Canis lupus familiaris: one gene and its partners. The main gene of each other region encodes a partner of the protein of the gene in region 3 in a complex. Links are inferred from orthologs where the notes say so. Each region holds a gene or a part of one and is shown on either strand. Other genes may lie near its edges.

What was found.
Region 1: INTS1 (region 3) and INTS12 share a complex: the UniProt entries of both Homo sapiens proteins name them as parts of the integrator complex. The link is inferred for Canis lupus familiaris from reciprocal best matches to the Homo sapiens genes INTS1 and INTS12.
Region 2: INTS1 (region 3) and INTS6 share a complex: the UniProt entries of both Homo sapiens proteins name them as parts of the integrator complex. The link is inferred for Canis lupus familiaris from reciprocal best matches to the Homo sapiens genes INTS1 and INTS6.

What each region holds. Positions count from the first base shown.
Region 1 is NC_049253.1:13,347,359-13,351,657, reverse strand, and holds the start of INTS12 (integrator complex subunit 12), read right to left. Parts: upstream 2,945-4,299; 5' UTR 2,811-2,944; exon of another isoform or gene 2,644-2,810; intron 1-2,643. UniProt on the Homo sapiens protein: Component of the integrator complex, a multiprotein complex that terminates RNA polymerase II (Pol II) transcription in the promoter-proximal region of genes.
Region 2 is NC_049243.1:595,054-598,697, reverse strand, and holds part of INTS6 (integrator complex subunit 6), read right to left. Parts: intron 2,780-3,644; coding exon 2,653-2,779; intron 1,924-2,652; coding exon 1,781-1,923; intron 1,582-1,780; coding exon 1,350-1,581; intron 1-1,349. UniProt on the Homo sapiens protein: Component of the integrator complex, a multiprotein complex that terminates RNA polymerase II (Pol II) transcription in the promoter-proximal region of genes.
Region 3 is NC_049227.1:15,594,873-15,598,956, forward strand, and holds the start of INTS1 (integrator complex subunit 1), read left to right. Parts: upstream 1-1,171; 5' UTR 1,172-1,265; coding exon 1,266-1,323; intron 1,324-1,622; coding exon 1,623-1,913; intron 1,914-2,885; coding exon 2,886-3,082; intron 3,083-3,225; coding exon 3,226-3,363; intron 3,364-3,721; coding exon 3,722-3,881; intron 3,882-4,029; coding exon 4,030-4,084. UniProt on the Homo sapiens protein: Component of the integrator complex, a multiprotein complex that terminates RNA polymerase II (Pol II) transcription in the promoter-proximal region of genes.

The DNA of each region.
Region 1 (4,299 bases), on a different chromosome or scaffold from region 3:
ATTTCTTCCTTGGTTATCTTCTATAGATCATGTTTTTAACTACCATCTCTAGGCAGATGATTTCATTTTTATCACCACACCAATCTCACTTAGGCTCAAATCCCACATTTCCAATTGCTTAGTAGATATGTCTACCTGGTTGCCCTAATGGTATCTCAAATTCAGTTATGGCTAAAATTGAGATTATGAATACTTTCTCCCAAAAGTTTGTCCTGTACTTTTTCAATGAATGACACAACTCTCTGCTAATCTAGTCTGAGGCCTAAATCCTTCCCTCACTAAATCCTCTCTTATTCTGTATAACCAAAAAATCAGTAGGCCTTCCCTATGGTACTTTGCAACATTCCTCACATTTGTTCCATTTTTCACTTCCACTGCTACTACTCCAATTCATGTCTTTTAAGTTTTGTGGTATAGCAGTAATGTAGCTATTCTCCTTGACTTCAGCACTACAGCTATACTCATGTTCCCAAAACACATTTCTTCTTTCTTTTTCATTTTCTTCCTCAAAAATTAAAACTTCCTGGGATGCCTAGGGGGCTCTGTGGTTGAGTGTCTGTCTTTGGCTCAGGGCGTGATCCCGCGATCTGAGATCAAGTCCCACACTGGGCTCCTTGCAAACCTGCTTCTCCCTCTGCCTAGGTCTCTCTTGTCTCTCAAGAATGAATAAAATCTTCAAAAAAATTAAAACTTCCTACTGTCTTCAAAATAAAGCCCAATTCTGAAAAGACTCTCACTGGCACAAAAACTTAATTCTTATACAGAAGAGCCATTCGCTTGTCTTGACACCTCTGCTTATTTTTTCTCTGTCCGGGAAGCTTTTTACCCATTTTTTAGATGTCTAAATTTTATGTTCAAATATTATTTCTCATGTGGATTCTTCACTGCTGGTGTGTCCTTATCCATCCCAAACACTACTAAAAATCTCTCCCTCCCAGGATACATCATACTGCTTTCTGGTGGTACTAGGACTTTCTACCTTGAGCCATACTTTTGTTGTTGTTTTGCACAAGAGTTATATTCCCTATAAAACTATTGAGTACTTTAAGGGAGGAGATTCTACATTTCTTTTTTACTATCACATGGCTACCTTGCAAAGTACCATAAAATAACAGCTATTAGAATTATTAGGGATCAAAGTAAAGTGTAATGGTCTTTTCCCTCCTACACAATTCTAACCAATTTACAAAGTCCCTTTGCAAAGAGCAGTAAGAAACGCAAACCCATCTTCCCTGTACCTCCTGCGCCTCCACCAAACCTCTCAAACATCAAAAAAGCAACAGTAAAAGAAACATAAACAAAAGTCACCTCTTTGATGACTAGAGACTTGTACAATGTTCCTCTCTGCAGTACTCACTCTCTTCCCAATCCTTTACCTGGCTTTACCTTCATTAATTACACTGGACTGTAACTTCATGAGGGCAAGAAACTTATTTTATTCAGTTATGTATCTAGGGTTCGAAACTTAGCCTCTCAAAAATATTTACTGAGTGAATGAACTAGGTTTTATTTAAAAATCACTTTCTGGGGCTTCTGTGATCTTTCCCACCGAAACTGGATATTCACAATGCTTTCCCCAAATCCCCAATTTCTCATTCTACATGCTAATCTTTTTTTTTAAAAAAACAGTCCGGAGTTGGGACACCTGCGTGGCTCAGGGGTTGAGCATCTGCCTTTGGCTCAGGTTGTGACCCCGGGGGTCCTGGGATGGAGTCCCCGCATGGGGCTCCGCGCAGGGAGCCTGCTTCTCCCTCTGCCGGTGTCTCTGCCTCTCTCTGTGTGAATATATAAATAAAATCTAAAAAAAAAAAAAAAAAGTCCAGAGTTGATCATCTGCACGTGCAAGGACACAAGATAAAGGAAACCACCTATTCACACCGAGTGCAATATTAGGGTTGCCATCTCCTACCAGCTCTAGCAAGCTTTGCCCTTTCATGTCTTTGGAAGCTCTTGCAAAAACAGCCTTTTTTAAAAAAAAGATTAAAAAAAAAATCTTTTAAAGCTGCTGCCCGTTTCAGTCCTCTACTGAATTCTCGGCCCTGGGTTACACTGATATCTTAGGGACATGTCTGGAAACGCAGGGGAAACGGAAGGACCACGACTCCAAACCAACCGAGTGACAAGAGAAGCTGAAAAAAAGGGGCCGAATGGGATCCCTGGTGGCGCAGCGGTTTGGCGCCTGCCTTTGGCCCAGGGCGTGATCCTGGAGACCCGGGATCGAATCCCACATCGGGCTCCCGGTGCATGGAGCCTGCTTCTCCCTCTGCCTGTGTCTCTGCCTCTCTCTCTCTCTCTCTGTAACTATCATAAATAAATAAAAATTTAAAAAAAAAAAAAAAAAAAAAAAAGGGGCCGAAGACGCTCAGAAAAGGGATGTCAGTCCTTTGATCAAAGCAGGACACCGCAGGCCTAGCACGGGAGAAGGTCTTCGAGGAGCAAGTCCGAGAGGACAGGCGAGGCGGAAGGAGGGAGCTGCCCAGAGAAGTCGCCAAAACCCTGCGGGGAAGGTCGGGCACCGGGCTGCAGGGACCAGTCCCCGGGGCCGGGCCGGGCCGAGCCGAGCCGGAGAGCCCCAGCCCACAGCACTGCAGGAGGAGGCTCGGCACCACCCCCCGCCCCCGCCCCCGCCCCCGCCCCGCCGCAGGGAGAGGGCAGTCAGCCCGGGCGCGCGGCCGCCCGCCAGTGACGACGCTGCCCCCTCAGCAGCCAGGGAACTAAGACCCCACGAAGCTCCTCTCCCGCCTCGCCCCTCGCGGAGGTCTCGAGCCTCCCAGAGGCGGCTGGGAGCCGGGGAGCTCGTCACAACTCACCGCTCCGCCCCGCTGCTCCGTCCGTTCCCGGGGGCCCCTTCCGAACCGCTCCCGGAACTCGCCGGCTCCGACTACGGGGAAACAAAGGTTCCTGCCGCGCCGTGAAGGGGGGAAGTTTTCGGCTGTGCCACGGCGGGAAGTGACGTAACCCCGGCTTCCGGTCCGCCGGATTATGAATGACGGCGGACGCGGCTGTTTCCAAGACGGCGTGCCTGCCGCGTGCCCCTTCCCGGCCTCTCTGGCCGCCCGCGGTCCGTGGGCGAAGACTCGCAGAAGCTGCCTCGGAAAACTCACGCGGGGTGGGAAGGCGCAGGCGGCTCGTGTCGCTGACACACTCACGCACCCTCCCTGCCTGGCCGCGCCTCTGCGACCAGGTAAGGAGGGAGCTCAGGCTGCGGACTCCGCGGTCCCCCTGACCCCCCCCCCCCCCCCCCCGCGACTGCTCTTTGCATCCGGAGGCGACCCGGCTGATGCTGCGAGACGGGGATGGGGAGGAGGCGGGGGGGCGGGAGAGGCAAGGGCTTGCAGTGAGTGTCCCGAGCTTTCTCCAGCGCTGGGCCCCTCCTGGGCGGTCACAGCCTCTGAGGGAGCTGGTGGAGGGCCCCGGGCCCCTTCCCAGGTTTCCCAGGGCCAGTCCCCGTGGCTCCCTCTGCTGATGGGGACTAGAGCAGCTTCTCTTTGCAGGAGTCCGTGGAGTCGTTTGCCGTTTGCTGCTAAGTGTCGCTTTAAGACCTTTTTGGCACGCTTTAACTTTTTTTTTTTTTTTTTCCTTCCCCCTCTCTCTTTGACACTTAGCATTTTATTCCGTGCCTTCCCGGTTAGAGAAAGCAGTTGTACGTGAGGACTGCTGAACAGTTGCTCCAGAGGACTTGCGTCGTTTGCGGCTGTTTTTCTTTTACACTGTCAAAGCAGCGTTTCAGTTCGGTCTTAAACAAGTTCGAGTTTGAGTAGAAAGTTTGACTTGCATGAAAGATTGCTTCGGTTTCGGAAACGTTCACGAACACCCGTATTTCCCGCCTCAACTCCACCTCGTTTGGAATGAGGTGACTTGTTTTTTAATCCCTTTATTCTTGAGCCCGGGATCCCATTTCTTGTCCTAAATTCTTGAATGTTACCGTTTGATAATCTATCTTGTGCTAAGTTATTGATTTTTAATAGCGTAGTTCTTTTTCCAAGCCTCCCTATAGAAAAAGTATTAGAGAAAAATGAAAAAGCTGGCAAGAATGTGGCGATTTGTAAACATGGTCATTGAATACTGTGAAAATAAATTCTCTTACAAATACAACTGAATGATTTGCTGTCATATTTAATAAATCAAACTTTAAGCCATGTTGAGTTTTTTTTTTTTTTTTAATTTAACTGCCTGGTGGGGAGTATACGCTACTAAGAGGATTGCCTTAAGGCATACTCACAACGTGAAATCATGTTTGAGTTCTACCTGAAGACCTTATTTTAAGAGGTCTAACTTTAAAAACAAATCTGTGATGAG
Region 2 (3,644 bases), on a different chromosome or scaffold from region 3:
CTAAGGGTTCCCCTAAATCCATTCTTATTCTTCCCAAACAATATTCCAAACAGTACAGTCGGCCTGTTTTTTATAAAATGCTAATCAGGTCAGGTCACTAGCTCTTCAAAATCTTTCAAAGATTCTCATTGTCAAGACACCTGCATGGCTCAGGGGTTTAGTACCAGCCTTCAGCCCAGGGTGTGACCCCGGGGTCCTGGGATTGAGTCTTGCATCGGGCTCCCCGCAGGGAGTCTCCTTCTCCCTCTTGTGTCTCTGCCTCTCTTTGTGTGTCTCATGAATAAATAAAATCTTAAAAAAAAAAAAAATTCTCGTCTTTAAAGTCTAGAATCTTTACGACGGCCTCCAAGGCCCTCCATGATCTGGCCTCAGCCTATCTTTCATTTCTCACCTTATCTGACTCTGAACACCTCTGCTAAACTGGAATTCTTTCAGTTCCTATAATCTTCTCTTTTGTATATTTGTTTGCACATATTTTTCTTATACTACTACTGTAGCATATTATAGTGCCTAGCATACTGCTTAGCACTACTACTAAATGCACAGCTTTAGTGAAACAATTCCCATTCACCCTTTAAATGTTGGCTTAAACATAACTTCCTCAGTAAAGGGTCTTGACCTCACAAACTAAGTTAAATCATCTTACCACCTTTTATAACATTCATCACATTCTAACTCAACATTCAATGACTATCTTTCCTCACTCATCATAAAGGCAGAGATCACTATTGTCTTGTTCACTATGATACCTCAATGCCTAGCACTGTTCATAATAGCACGTGTATTTAATAATTAGTTGATTGTTTTTTTTTTAAAGATTTTTTTTTTTTATTTACTCATGAGAGACACAGGGAGAGAAGCACAGACACAAGCAGAGGGAGAAGGAGACTCCCTGTGGGGAGCCTGATGTGACACTTGATCCCAGGACCCCAGGGTCACACCCTGAGACGCTCATCCACGGAGCCACTCAGGTGCCCCTAATTAGTTGTTGAATTAACCTGAAATTGAAAACCATCTTTCTGTGGGTATTGCTAATACCCCTTTAATAAGTGTTATTTTGAAATACTTAAGACTTGTAAACGGTATTTTGAATTTTTTATTTAACAGACTTATAAATGGTATTTAGATTATGGCTAGCTATAATAAAGCATGATAAACATAAGAAATGTCCAACAAATGTTCTTTAAAAAGACATACAAAATGATCACATGCTAATTTAAAATAAACAAGTATCTTCTCTAGACACTCTTGGGCTTTATCAATCAATTTCTTCCACAATCTATTACAAAAATCTCATCCCCACAAAAGAAACAAAAAGCAGCAAATAAAGTTTGTTTTTAAATTCTTACCTTTATGAAGAGGAAGGGGTTTAATAAGATCTGGCTGTGCTTGAGTCATCGGTACAGGTGGTCCTTTTCCTCCAATATGATTGTTCACAACTGGATTTTGTTGTCTGCCTCTTAGTAATGGGGACATACAGCGACGTCTTTTAGGGATTCCTTGCATATTTGGTTCTCCAGGTCGTTTATGTTTATTTTGAGGTCCAGCCACAAATTCATCTGCTTCATCTATCATCATACCCTGTAACAAAAAAATATATAATTTCCCTAGATTTACATACAGTTTTTAAATGGTACAACTAATTCCAATCCCCATTAGAGCAACTGTATTATAACTATGTTGACATTTATTAGTCTACCAAGAAAAGTAGCTTACTTTAGTTAAATTAAGAACTGTTAAATCCACAAATGAATTATACAATGGAACATTTCAAGTTTACCTTCTTATCTAGCTTAAAGGGGTTGCCAAATGTATGCAACCTTCGAGGCTGATCAGGATCAAGTTCTCTTAGTGGAGAAGGTACTTGCTTGAGGTATTCCTGGTAATTCCCCATTTGTGCTATAGGAACACTGTGCACTTGATCTTTTCAAACAGAAGAGAACAACAACAAAAGTTAACCTCACTATTCATATGTTGTCATTATAAATATTGTGACTAAAATGAAATCTTTTTGAGATTTTTTTAAAGTAAAATTTAAAAGAATTGACTTTATCTTCTAAAAGCAAAAATATTGTAGTCCATTTGAGTGTATAAAATAAGTAATGATGTGTTAACATTACCATGAATAGGAATGTCTCTTCTCTCTATTCCAAAGAAGTAGAATTATAGCAAAATTTACAGGAAAGACATACACAGAGATAATCCTTTTTATATAAAGCTATAGTTGGAATGCTTATATCAGAGATGGCAAAGAGTTAAATTCTCATCTGACTTGATTTGTACTACATGCTACAGATATTGTTGAAAGAAGAGGACACGTATTGACCATCCAAGCTAAACCACCAGATACTAACTAGTGTATCACAAGAAAATGATTTTGTGTGTGCATGTGAATGCATGAACTAAGCCAAAGAAAAGAAAGTAAGCTGCTAATAAAGATTGTCACCTCGGGGGAATAGAATTTGAGGCAACAGTGATGATAGAAAAAAAAGTTGAGAATCAGAGATGACTCCTTACTTCATTTGTTTGAATTTAAAAAGAAAATGTAATACTACTAATAATTCTTTAAAAGTTATATTCCCATACCATATTTTTTCAATATAAAGTAAGAAATTCACAAAAAAAATACCATTACTAAAACCATGATCTAACCTTCATCCTGTCCTTTAAGAAATCTGCGGGTGCTCTTCAAAAGATTAGATCTCATTCTTGTTAAGTGATCCAAAAGATTCCGCCTTGGTATGTCATATGCATTTCTAAATGTCTGTGGCTTCAAATCCTGTTGAAAATCATTCAAAGACAAAATTTATTTCCAACATAGAATTAAAAGAGACTAAAACCTCTAGCCTGCAGCATAGGTTTTGAAATAAGATATATTAAGTCTAATTAGCTTCAAAATAGAATAAAGAATTATGATGCCATCTAAACACACCTGGGAACCAGAAGATCAAAATTGGTAATGAGCTTAATCAAATACCTCAAATTCACATCTTTCAAGGTTTTATTATATATTCAGGCTAAGAGAAGTAAATAGCTTATAAAACAAATTTCCAAATTTTAAAACCTTTGAAAGTTTAAAGAAGAAACACAGCTTTGACGTATCATTCACGTACAATAAATTAACCCATTTTAAGTATACAGTTTGATGAATATCAGCAAACAGTTGTGAAACCATCACCACAATGCAGGTTAAGAACACTTCCATCATCCCCAAAAAGTTCTTGGTGCCCATCTGTAGTCAATCCCTTTTCCTATCCCCAGGCATCCACTAATCCTGCTTCCTGTCTCCCTACATTCCATTTTATAAGTGGAATTTTGCTATATCAAATCTTTTCTATCAGGCTTTTTTCACTAAGGATGATATTTTGAGATTCATCCAGGTTATTAATGCATCAGTAGTTTGTTCTTTTTGACTGCAGAGTAGTATTCCATTCTATGAACACAGTTTATCCATTTTCCAGTTTATGAAGTTTCCTTTCAGTTTTTGGCTATTATGAACACTGCTATGAACATTTGCATAAAAAGCCTTTCTATGGCTATTGTCTTCGTTTTTCTCATGTAGACAGATACACCTTGGAGTAAAACTGCTGGTTATATAGTAAGTATAGCCATTCTAGTGGATGGGAAGTGGGATCTCACTAGTT
Region 3 (4,084 bases):
TTGGGACACACACTGGGACCCACAGCTATTCCAACAGGACGCTGGGCCCCGTATCTGCTCTCTGGTCACCGCCAGTCCACGGACACAGCTGGCCATGCAGCCATGCCACGAGTGCCTTTCGCGGGTCTTCCCTGGCCCCCACACCCTGCTTCTCCTCTGAAGCTCAGCCCTGCCATGCCCGCGGGCAAGGCGGAGTCGGGTCCCTATCCGCTGACCGCTGCCTCCCTGAAGCTCGCCATCTGGCAGGGGCCTCGAGCTCAGTGTTCGCGTGCATGGCCTGCCCCTTCCTGCCGGCCGACTGCTCCATGAAGGAAGGCACCCGGCTGGCTGGTGCGGGGCTGCAGGCAGAAACCCAGGCAGTTGCTCTGGGCCTTGTTCCTGGTGCGGGGTGGGATCCCCAGGACGCCCGGATCCCCAGCCAGAAACCCCAGGACGCCCGGAAACCCCAGAGAGGAGGAGGGTGTGGGGTTCCCTGTCGCCACGGAGCCCTCACTCTTCCGCCAAAGGGACTGAGACAGGTTGCACAGCCCCACTGTGCAGTCGAGCAAACTGAGTCTGGGCTGATTGATGCCCCCCAGCCGGTTGTGATGAGGGCCCTGCCCACCCCCAGCCCTCCCTAGCTCCCTCCTCCTGCTCCACCGCAGGAACCCCAGAACCTGCCCTTCGACAGCTCAATGGGACAGCAGGACCCTGAAGACGCAGCACATCTGGACCAGAATCCTCGTGCCCCCTCTTCCCCTATCGCGTGTCCTCGGGCGCGTCACTAAGTGACGACACCTCCCCTGCCGAGAGCAGGTGCAAGACGGATCCGGGCAGCGGCGCCCCGCCGGCCTCCCGCCGCCAGAGGGCGCCGCAGGCACCGTTCAGACGTCGCGGACCCTCTTGCCTCGCTACCCCGGCCGCGCTGTTTTGCTTCCTGTTGTTCCGGAAGTTGGGGTGCCGAGGGTGGTGGAGGCGACTTCCGGTTCCGGGACGGCCGTGGCCGCGGCTCGGCACTGGGGGTGTAGGACTGTGGTGCGCGGGCCGCGGCTGGCGGCGACAGCGACCCCTGCCCGGCCGATCGGAGGCGGGGTTCGCGCGGCCCCCTCGAGTGGCTCGGCGGGGCAGGGCGGCGCGGCCCCTTCCGCCGCAGGTCCCGGGCCGCAGCGCTGACGGCCCCGGGACGAATGAATGAATGAGCCGGCGGGGGGACGGCGGACCCGGCGCCGGCCTTCCCCTCGGTGACAGCGCGGCGGCGGCGGCGGCGGCGCGGGACGGGGGACAGGATGAACCGGGCCAAGCCCGCGACCGTGCGCAGGCCCAGCGCGGCGGCCAAGCCGTCAGGTGTGCGGCCTGGGCACCCGGGGCGGGCGGCCTCCGGGTCACGGCACGCCCGAGGCCGGCGGGCTGGACTCCCTGTGCCTCGGGTCCTTCCTCTGCAACGTGAGCTGTGGAGGAGTGGGTGGACCCGCAGCTACAAGGTGGGGAGGCCGGCCTGCAGCGAGCCGGCAGGAGACCCAGCTGTGCCCTGATGACCCTTGTCTGGCCCCCTCCAGACAGCGGGGGCTGGGGGTGCAGCCCGGCCCCACCACCACCCCCGCCATGGTGTAAGGTGCACGTTTCTCCACCTCCCCTCTCTGCAGGGCACCCTCCACCGGGAGACTTCATTGCTCTGGGCTCCAAGGGTCAGGCCAATGAATCCAAAACGGCGTCCACTCTGCTGAAGCCTGCCCCTTCCGGCCTGCCTTCCGAGCGCAAGCGGGACGCTGCAGCCGCCTTGGCGGGTGCCTCGGCCCTGACCGGCCTCACCAAGCGCCCCAAGCTCTCCTCCACGCCCCCGCTGAGTGCCCTGGGGCGCCTGGCTGAGGCTGCTGTGGCAGAAAAGCGTGCTATCTCTCCGTCCATTAAAGAGCCATCTGTGGTCCCAATTGAAGGTAGAGTCAGTCCCTGGGCTTAGGTGGTGGAGATCGTGTTCCCACACAGCTGTGTGGTCTCCCCAGGGGTCAGTGAAGGCTGCCTCCAGGCCTAGCACCAGAGCTGAGCTGAGCTGGCCGTGGGTTCCCTGGAGAAGGGTTGAGCAGAGTCCATCTGGGAGTTTGTTCTGCAAAGACGCAGGCGTCTATCCTGAGTGTGCTTCCAAATCCCATCACAGACAGGGAAGCATTAATGAGACCCAAGGCAGCGTGGCACAGACGGTGGGGCCCGAACGTGCTATGGGAGCGGGTGCTGACAGGGGCAGTGAGTGCAGCGAGCCTCTGCAGCCTGGTCTTCCCGCAAAGCACAGGCATCCTGTCCTACGGCTGGGAGGTGGGAGGTGGTCGGATGGTGTCTGTCCTTGCTCTTCCTGCCCCCACGTCGTGGGGGAGCTCCTGCAGTGCCGCCAGGAACTGCTTCTTTCGTTTGCCACCTGGTTCATCTCGGGTGTTTGCTGAGCACCTCCTATGTGACGGGCTCTGTTTTCCATACTGGGGATGGGCAGAAACTGAGACCAGAGCCTGTTCATGTGGGCTCTGTGTTTTAGTGCTATCCTCTCTACGCTTCAGTAACCCCTGCAAGGCTGGAGGGTACTGTTCCTGCTATGGCCATCAGCTGGGTCGGGCCTGTGAGGTGGGCACTACCTGCCCTGCTCCCTCCCCAGCTGTGGCTGTTGTCCTCCTTGGAGGCGGGCAACCATGGCATAGCCCTGACACCCTCACTCACTAGGTCTCTGCTGGTTTGCCCTGTTGCCCCCTGACAATCAGGGGGGTGGCCTGAAGGCGGGTTCTGCTTGGGGCTGCACCCTAATAATCGGGGAGGGTCCTGAAGGCAGGTTGCTTGGGGTTGCCCCCTGACGATTGGGGTGGGGCCCCTGAAGACATGTTCTGCTTCGGGTCACCCCACAACGATGCCCTTCCTGCATCTGCCAGTGCCACCCTCCGTGCTGCTGGATGAGATCGAGGCTGCTGAGCTGGAGGGCAATGACGGCCGGATCGAGGGCGTGCTGTGTGGGGCGGTGAAGCAGCTGAAGGCCACCCGTGCCAAGCCCGATGGCGCGCTGTACCTGAGCCTCATGTATCTGGCCAAGATCAAGCCCAACATCTTTGCCACAGAGGGTGTCATTGAGGTGAGGGCTGGCTGGGTGGAGTGAGACAGGCTCTCGCTCTCTCCTCACGCCCTCCCACCCTCTCCTTCCCTCCCCTGGAAGCATGCTGGCTCTGCCCTTTGTGCAGGGCACTGCTCCCCCTGATGATGTGCCCTCTTTTGCAGGCTCTGTGCAGCCTCCTGCGGCGGGATGCCTCCATCAACTTCAAGGCCAAGGGGAACAGTCTGGTATCTGTGTTGGCCTGTAATCTACTCATGGCTGCGTATGAGGAGGATGAGAACTGGCCTGAGATCTTTGTCAAGGTGGGTCTGCCTCTCCTGAGAGGCTCCCCTGGGGCCTCTGCACTGCCTGGGGTGATGGGGGCAGAGCGCTGGACCCTCGGGAGGAAGAAGAAGCCTGCCTGAGTGTGCTATCCAGAGGCTGTGTATCTGGAGATCATGTTCTCACACACCTCTGTGGTCTCCCAGGGGTCAGTGACAGCCTGGTACGTCTGTCTCTTGCCTTGGTCGCCGGGGAGGTCGGCCTGGGAGCCGCCTCCCTACTCCCTGCTGCCCCAGGCAGCTGAAGACACTTGGGGAAGCATCTGTCTTGGGAGCAGAAGGGGTGGGCAGAAGTGAACTGCCCAGCAGGGGCCTGGAGTATGGATTTTATCACGTGCAGGTGTACATCGAAGACTCCTTGGGGGAGCGGATCTGGGTGGACAGCCCGCACTGCAAGACCTTTGTGGACAACATCCAGACAGCATTTAACACCAAGATGCCTCCCAAGAGCATGCTTCTGCAGGGGGAGGTGGGGCGCAGCGGCGGGGATCTCAGTGCTGGTAAGGGACGCTAGCTGGCTGGGCTGGGGAGAGGACAGAATGTTCCTAAGGGAAGGGCTGGGGTCGTCTCCCTCCACAGAGCCCGCTGTTGGGGGTGGGTACTCGTGGAACAGTCGGGGGGTATGTCCACAAGTGGCTTGGTCTACAGGGAGCAGCCCTCATCCTTCCCTCACGGAGGAGGAGGACAGCCAGACGGAGCTCCT